Ovis aries: one gene and its partner. The protein of the gene in region 2 purifies or fractionates together with the protein of the main gene of each other region. This does not show direct contact. Links are inferred from orthologs where the notes say so. Each region holds a gene or a part of one and is shown on either strand. Other genes may lie near its edges.

Region 1 (4,086 bases), on a different chromosome or scaffold from region 2:
TTCCTTAAAAAACAAAACATAAACCAGAAAACAGACAGAAAGTTACTGTAGGAAATTAATAGTTCATGCAAAATGGTTAGCACTCACTGAGAAAACAAGGTCGAGGGTGGGAGAGGCAGGGCCGGCTCTCAGTGGCAGGGGCGCCAGGAGGCGAGGGGTTATGCCGAGCCAATCATGTTGTTACTCCAACTGAAGAATGATCTATGCTTAATTTATTTGCATCCATCCTCTCACTCATCTCTAGAGATCATCTACCTCATAAACCCAAGGCTGAAATTGCAATTACTCAGAGCTTCTTTTTGAGATTTCCAACAGTCCCCATTTTTATCCTAGCTGAAAGAACGCGTTCTAACACCTTTGGCTCTCCAAAAGTGAACCCTAAGAAAGGAATTAAGACTCTAAAAACCCAAAGGAGGCCCCCACCTGGAACACAGACCATACCTTAGTCTTATAACAAAGAAACCAACAGCACAGAGGAGTCAAACAAGGACAGGAAAATCCGCAGAACTCATGCTTACTTGTCATTTTCTACCCCCAAACCAAAGTGAGGAGCAAAACAACAAGTAAAAGATTTGCTTATTCACACTCTTCCTGTATGTCCTGGAAGAACCAGCAGAGGTGAGGTAAAAGACGGGTCTTCCATCTTATCATCCAAAAGGCCAATAGCACACACCAGTCACAACAATGCCGCAGTTCCTGGAGACAGTCCTGGACGCTTTGCAGCGAGGATGCTCACTGCAGCCATACAAAGCCCAGTGTGTAAAGCTGGACCCAAACCACCACCACTCAGTCACCCAGAGCCCATTTTCAAACTGCCTTTGTACTCGCTCAGACTCCCTCATCCCTCCCCCTAAAGGCTGAGTGGGAAACTGACACTCTGGCAGCAACATGACCAATCCTCCAAAGATCCACCAAGAAACCCCCCTAGGCTGCAGTCAAGGCTGAAGGGAGCATTCGAAAATTTGGAAACGATGTAAGTACAGCCCACAAAATATACACATTGTCCTTTCTCTTTCTTTTTAACTGCACTTGCTATAATTAGATGATCCAGACATTAAAATCTTACTGTAGCCCTTGCATAAATTAGATTAAAAGAAGGGACAAAGTTCAGTTTCCTCTGAAGCTACAACCTCACAAGAATGAAATCATCTTTCAAGAAATAGTCTTGTCCTGGAAAAGAAATTCAAGGAAGTGTTCTAGTCTGAAAAGAATTAAGGGGTGGGGTGGGGTGGGGGGTTCAGAATCAGAGGATTATTATAGATACATGCCAGTTTAAATCTAATAGCAGCTTACGTATTAAGGACCATCCTGCCACAATGAGAGCAGTGTCTATTGCAGTTATAATTTTGCAGATGATTCGAATTTTCAAACGGAGAAGGAAGGGAACGTCCAGTTTTCAGCTACCGAGGAGCCGGCTATATGCTCGTCTAGTATTTTTGCAGGAATGTATGCGCAAAACAAAAACAGATCTTAAGATTAAACATGAGATATGAAAGCACAGCCATGGGCCTTCAGATCTTAAAAGATTTCTGGTTTCACAGCAAGTTAACCAAATCAAAAATGCACCTCCAAAAAGCAACTTTCAGATTGGTTTAAAAATAAGAATTCCCCCTGTTCTTTCCCAAACACACCCTAAACACTAGGGTCTGTATTAAGTGTTTTAGCCTGACCTTTTTTAAATCCCAGCCTCTTTCAGAGAGCACAAAGCTGGAAATGTCTCTTGTGTGCGACTTTACTCAGGTGAGCTAAAGCGCATGGCTAGAGGTTCCTTATCCCTTTAAGCACGAAAACCAGACATTATTGTATATGCAGACTGAACATACAACACCTCCACAAATCTTTGCCATCAAAGGTAGTTTTAGAAGGAAGGGGGTGGCAATCCAGTTACCAAGGGTCTATTTGTTTTCTTTTACAAGGCAAAGCAGAGAGGCTAAGTCTAGAAGGCGAAAGAGGCTCCCACCCACCACACCTGAAAAAGTAAAAGAGGGATCCACCCAGGAACAGCAGGGCTGAAACCGATCTGAGCCGTTCAAACTCTCCAGGGGAAAAATATCACTATTTAAGCTGCAAAGCTCCCTGCAACTTTCCACTTTCACAAATTCAATGATAAAAGGCAGAAAAAAAAAGTTTTGAAACATATGAAGAACCATCTGTATGCTTCCGACCCGGACAAATTCCTTTCCCAACCCACACACAAAATGCCAAAAAAAAACAACTTTTGGTTTGGGCTCTGAAAACAGAAGTTTGTTAGCCCAGCCTAGAAAAAAAACACATACAATCAAAGACCACACCAAAATGTAAATTTATGCAACAGCTCTCACCCCTCTGAATCTATTCATCTGCCTATATTAGACCTAGAAGTTTGTTTCTGGGTCTTGAATATCTCCCTTTGCTTTAAATACGATAAAATACCAAAATTCCCCCAAATAAGTAGAAAGAAAAATTAATAATTGTTTAAAAGTTACCCGTCAGCATAACAGACCCTCTCGTCTTCAAATTCCCTCGGTTACCATAAGACAAAAATTCAACTTGGCTTATCCTGCTTTACCCGTCTATACACATATTTTTTAAAAAGGCACACACCTCAAATGTGGACTTCTGAAAACCACTTCTTTAAGAGAGAAAACCAAGGCTCCGTCAACGTGCTGAGAAAGACAAATCCAGCAAGGTAGTTGCTTTTTCGCCACCTCTTCCTCCTTTCAGGATCTTTCCGGCTCTTCTTTCTCTCTCTCCCCCTTTTTTTTCTCTCAGATCCAACACCTAAAATGGAAGTTGCACCCAGCCAAAGGCTAGGGAGCCTGGGTGGTGACAAACTGATCTGGCAGCCCTACCCCCTCGCTTTCCTAAGTGATGTCAGCCCCTGAGAACTTCCAATAGGAGCTAGGCATAAATCAGGGAGCTGATTTTATCCAATAGGAAACTTTATTATAGGAAACAGGGGAAAAAAGCAAGAGGAGGAGAAAAAGAGACAGGGGGAAGTTTTATATATATATTTATATTTAAAGTGGAGACTATATAATCTCTAAGGGATTACTGCAGAGCTGGGAGGGGTCGGGGAAGGGGGCTGAAGGAACAAGGGCTTTCTAGAACGGCATGCCTAAGAACCACGGTTCTCTTTGATGGTGGAGTTCTTGCTCCCTCCTTCCTCTCTGGGTAGGGAAGAAAAAAAGCTGATTTTATTTGCCTGCTGTTATTTGGTTTGTTGCTTTCTACCCCAAACCATTTTCCCACAGGAAGATAAGAAGGGAAGGAGCAAGCAACACTAGAAAGAGGGCTACAGTGTGTTGACTGGGATGGTAGGGGATATCTGAGGTAAATCCTCAATTTTATCTTCGTTTAAATGCATTTGAGTTAATTAGAAAAACAAATACTTCGACTTAACATTTTTAGCATCTATACTTTCAACTGGGCTTCCCCTGTGGCTCAGCTGGTAAGGAATCCGGGAGACCTGGGTTTGATCCCTGGGTTGGGAAGATCCCCTGAAGAAGGGAACGGCTACCTACTCCAGTATTCTGGCCTGGAGAATTCCATGGACTGTATCCATGGGGTCTCAAAGAGCTGGACACAGCTGAGCTACTTTCACACACATACATAATTTCAACTAGAAGGAAGCTGAATCCACTAGGCTGTTGAAGAAAATCAGTCTTCTCATTTGCCCCAAATCAAAATAACGTGGGCTTGAGGGGCATCGTAAATGATATCCTATAAACAAGTGATATATTTGGAGACAACAGCACATGTAAGGAAAAGAAACTCTCACATCAAGAAAGTTCAATTCATTTGTGAAGTTCGGGCTTAAGAAGGTCTAGTTCGTGCATTCTCTTTATGCTTGACCTAAATAAAGGATTATAACAGGCATTCTTTTTCTCTTAAGAGTTATCTTTAATATGTTCTTAGACTATTAGGCCATGAAGGGCAGAGATTGAAAATTTTTTTATGCTTACAAAGACTATTTCATTAACTATATGAAAATGATAATGATAAACTGAAAATTTCCTCTTTCTTTCTTACTGAAAACTCTAAAAATCTGAAGACTGCTACCAAATGAATCTTCATAAAGGTTTCATAATTTAAAATAGTGGTTAA
Region 2 (3,629 bases):
AGAGGGCCACCCTGGCTTGCCTATTAACAGTCGGTTAAGTAACTCCAGGCTAGAAGGACAGAGTCTAGGGAAGTTCTGGGCCTGCTTCCAGGAGCTCTCTGCCCCATGTGGGCTACCCCTCCTAGGGCTGGCAACCCTTATGCAGTCGCACCCCTCAGAGCTCTGGGCAGGGCCAACATCACACCACTGCCTGATCATGGGACTCTGGGCAAGGGACTCAGCTTCTCTGAGATCAGTCTACTTACGTAAAATGGGATAATAATACCGGATGAGATGGTTGGATGGCACCATCGACTCGATGGACATGGGTTTGGGTGGACTCCGGGACTTGGTGATGGACAGGGAGGCCTGGTGTGCTGCGGTTCATGGGGTCGCAGAGTCAGACACGACTGAGCGACTGAACTGAACTGAGTAAAAGAACGTGAAAACGTGCCACCACTATGCCAGAATGTACACAGCAGGTGTGCTCAAGAGTGGCTGCTGCTACTGCAACGGGAGCCACGTCCACCAGCACCGTCACGACCCACCATCGTCATCATGGCTCAGAAGCTTTGCACCCCAAATTCCAACTCCATCTTTTCCCCTCTTCTGCCCCAACCTATGGCCTCCTGGCCTTTGTAGATGACAGAGAATTCATCACAGAGCTACGAGGTGGGAGGAACTGAGGATGCAGTTAGATGGGAAGGAGAGTGGCAGGAGAAAATGAACTTGAGAGAAGGTCCACTGTGTTCCTCTCCTCCCAACCCTACTGTGGCCAGTGACACCAACAAGGATCATGCCCTGGGGTGGGGTTGGGATGGACATGACTCTGGGCTGGGAGTGAGGGTGCTGAGGGTGGACCCACCATGCGACCAGATGGAACCAAAGCTTCTGTGTTGGCCCACGTGCCACCGGGAGCTGGGCTCGCCCAGGGATGCCCAGGGAGGAGGGGAGGGAGCAGGTGGGCCTGGGGGAGGTGGAAGGGAGGGCATAAGCCTCCGCCCCGCCTGACCAGCTCTGGCTCACTGACCACAGTGATCACCCTCCTCATCATTCTGCGGAGGCGGCTCCGGAAGCAGGCCCGCGCCCACGGCAAGAGCGTGCCAGAGATCCACGAGCAGCTGGTCACCTACGATGAGGAGGGCGGCGGCGAGATGGACACCACCAGCTACGACGTGTCAGTGCTCAACTCAGTGCGCCACGGCGGGGCCAAGCCCCCGCGCCCGGCGCTGGACGCGCGGCCGTCCCTCTACGCTCAGGTGCAGAAGCCACCCCGGCAAGCGCCCGGGGCGCATGCGCCCGGGGAGATGGCCGCAATGATCGGGGTGAAGAAGGAGGAGGCGGACCACGACGGCGGCGGCCCGCCCTATGACACGCTGCACATCTACGGCTACGAGGGCGCCGAGTCCATTGCCGAGTCCCTCAGCTCCCTGGGCACGGATTCATCGGACTCGGACATTGATTATGACTTTCTCAATGACTGGGGACCCAGGTTCAAGATGCTGGCCGAGCTGTATGGCTCAGACCCCCAGGAGGAGCTGGTGTATTAGGGGGGCACAGGCCTCTGGGCCTGGGAGCCAGACCACTTGCAGCTCAGGCTAGTCGGACACAAGGCACTGAGGCCTCCAACTGTAGCACTGTCCCAGCCTAACAGCCCATCCTCGCAGGTCACAGAGACTTCACCACCTTGGTTGGCAAAAGCCAAGTTCCTGAAACGTCCAGGAACATATTTCAGCCATGGCTACTCCCCAAATGCTGGGAAATCAAGGCTGGTATGCTGTCTGGGTTGAGACATCCATATAACCCTGTCACCTGGAATCACCGGTCCAACTCAAAGATTCTCTCTGGCTCTTCAAAGCCGTTTATGCTCAGTTGCTGCAGGGGTTGGGGTGGGGGTCTTCCCTTGAGGTCCCTGAACCCCTTGGGGAGGCTGGGGAGGCCCTGGTGCCTGTCAGCCTGGAGGCAAAAGACTGGGCAGCATTACCGTGGGGCAAGACACTCTGTAGCCCTGTCCTACCAGAAACTGGGACCACCCATCACGCTTGTCCCACCTCACCCTCCTCACACGCTCCCAAGTGCCCCCGCATTCCTCAGCCTCTCCCCAGGCCTGTCAAGAGAGGAAAGGCCCCTGGACATCTCCCAGCCTTGGGTCCCGAGGTGACCTCGCTGGCCCGCTGTGCCTGCAACTATGCTGTACTGTGTATTGAAAGTCCAGCCAAGGTCATGGAAGCGGCTTGTTGAACTCTGAAGCAACTGTGAATTCTCCCTGGAGGAGCAGTGGGGAGCAAGTGTGACACCATATCATAGGGTGAGGGCCACCTTCACACCCACTCCCTCCGGAAGGGGCTGGGGGTCACTGTGACCCCAATTTGAGACATGACACCCCTCCAGTTTTGCCTGGGAAGCTGGGCAGGTGTTCCCAGAGCAAAAGACTCCTCCCCACCTCTCCTGGTCACTCGGTCATGCTCTTTTTTTCTTTCTGTCCATCTACTCTTGACCTCTTGGCATGGTGGCACTTCAGGTGTGACCCATGACTGCACAACAGAGCCGTGTAGTTTGTCTTCACGCCTCACTGCTGCCACATCTCAGGGAACCCCAGCAGGGCCCCCTCCCTGCAGAAGGCAAGGCCCCTGCTCAAGTCCTGTGGTCGCCTGTGTCTCTTCCACTTTCAGCCACATATGGAACTTTCCACTGCAGACACGTCTTGGGGAAAGGGCATCACTCAACAGGAGAGGGGAGAGGAGAAAGGAGGCAAATTCTCCAATTCACCCTCTGTCATGGACCAAGGCTCCTGCTGTGGGCAAGGCCCCTCAATTCAGGGGATTGTAGATAACACTGACTTTTAATCTTTAACTAATAACTAGGTTTTTTATAGTTTTTATACTAATAATACTTAACACACTTCTAGCTCTCACAGACATATAGAATAAGGGTATTTGCATAATTAGCAGGTTACTATTTAGGTTAACAATTTTATTTCGGGTATTTTAGTTGGATCAAGAAATTCCTGTAACCATCTGTTTCCTATCATTGTAGTAACTGCTCGACTAATAATGACTATATATATACATATATACAGGCTACACTGGTGCATGGAACCATGCTGTATTTTTTAAAATAACTAAATAAAGAAAAACCTTGAAATACGTCTCTTTCTAGAGCTAAGTGAGCTCATGAGAAATAGAAGCACATACATGCCACCACCAGCACCACCACCACCATCAGAGGAACCCAGAGTGCAAGGTGACACTTGCGGTCAGGACTTCAGACACACACTGTAGGAAAGTGACTGCAGCAGAGAATAACAAGAGACACCTCGTCCATCCTGGTCTCCTCCCAGAGGCCTGTGCCTTCCCTCAGCCTGCACATGCCCCCCAGTCCCACCCTGACTCTACACAACAGGCAGGGCCTCTGGCAGCTGAGCTGCCGCACCTTTTCCAAGTGGCAAATGGACCAGGTGGGTGAGATAAATCAGCAGTGAGGGAGGAAATCAATCTCTAATTAGCTGGCTAACAACACTGACTGAGCAGCTGGCACTTCACCTGGGTGTGTGAACCCCAACATTGACGTCCTGCCTGGAAATCAAAAATGAGAATAGGAAGCAATCAAAAACGAGAATAGGAGGCCTCCCTGACAGACTCAGGACTTGA

Evidence for each region. The genes of interacting proteins can lie anywhere in the genome.
Region 1: the proteins of CDH5 (region 2) and CTNND1 purify together in Homo sapiens (affinity purification with western blotting; 3 studies listed by BioGRID and IntAct, counting the BioPlex papers as one, with this or other methods). This does not show direct contact. The link is inferred for Ovis aries from reciprocal best matches to the Homo sapiens genes CDH5 and CTNND1.

What each region holds. Positions count from the first base shown.
Region 1 is NC_056068.1:79,778,509-79,782,594, reverse strand, and holds the start of CTNND1 (catenin delta-1), read right to left. Parts: upstream 2,808-4,086; 5' UTR 2,584-2,807; intron 1-2,583. UniProt on the Homo sapiens protein: Key regulator of cell-cell adhesion that associates with and regulates the cell adhesion properties of both C-, E- and N-cadherins, being critical for their surface stability.
Region 2 is NC_056067.1:33,733,206-33,736,834, forward strand, and holds the end of CDH5 (cadherin-5), read left to right. Parts: intron 1-1,014; coding exon 1,015-1,529; 3' UTR 1,530-3,125; downstream 3,126-3,629. UniProt on the Homo sapiens protein: Cadherins are calcium-dependent cell adhesion proteins. They preferentially interact with themselves in a homophilic manner in connecting cells; cadherins may thus contribute to the sorting of heterogeneous cell types.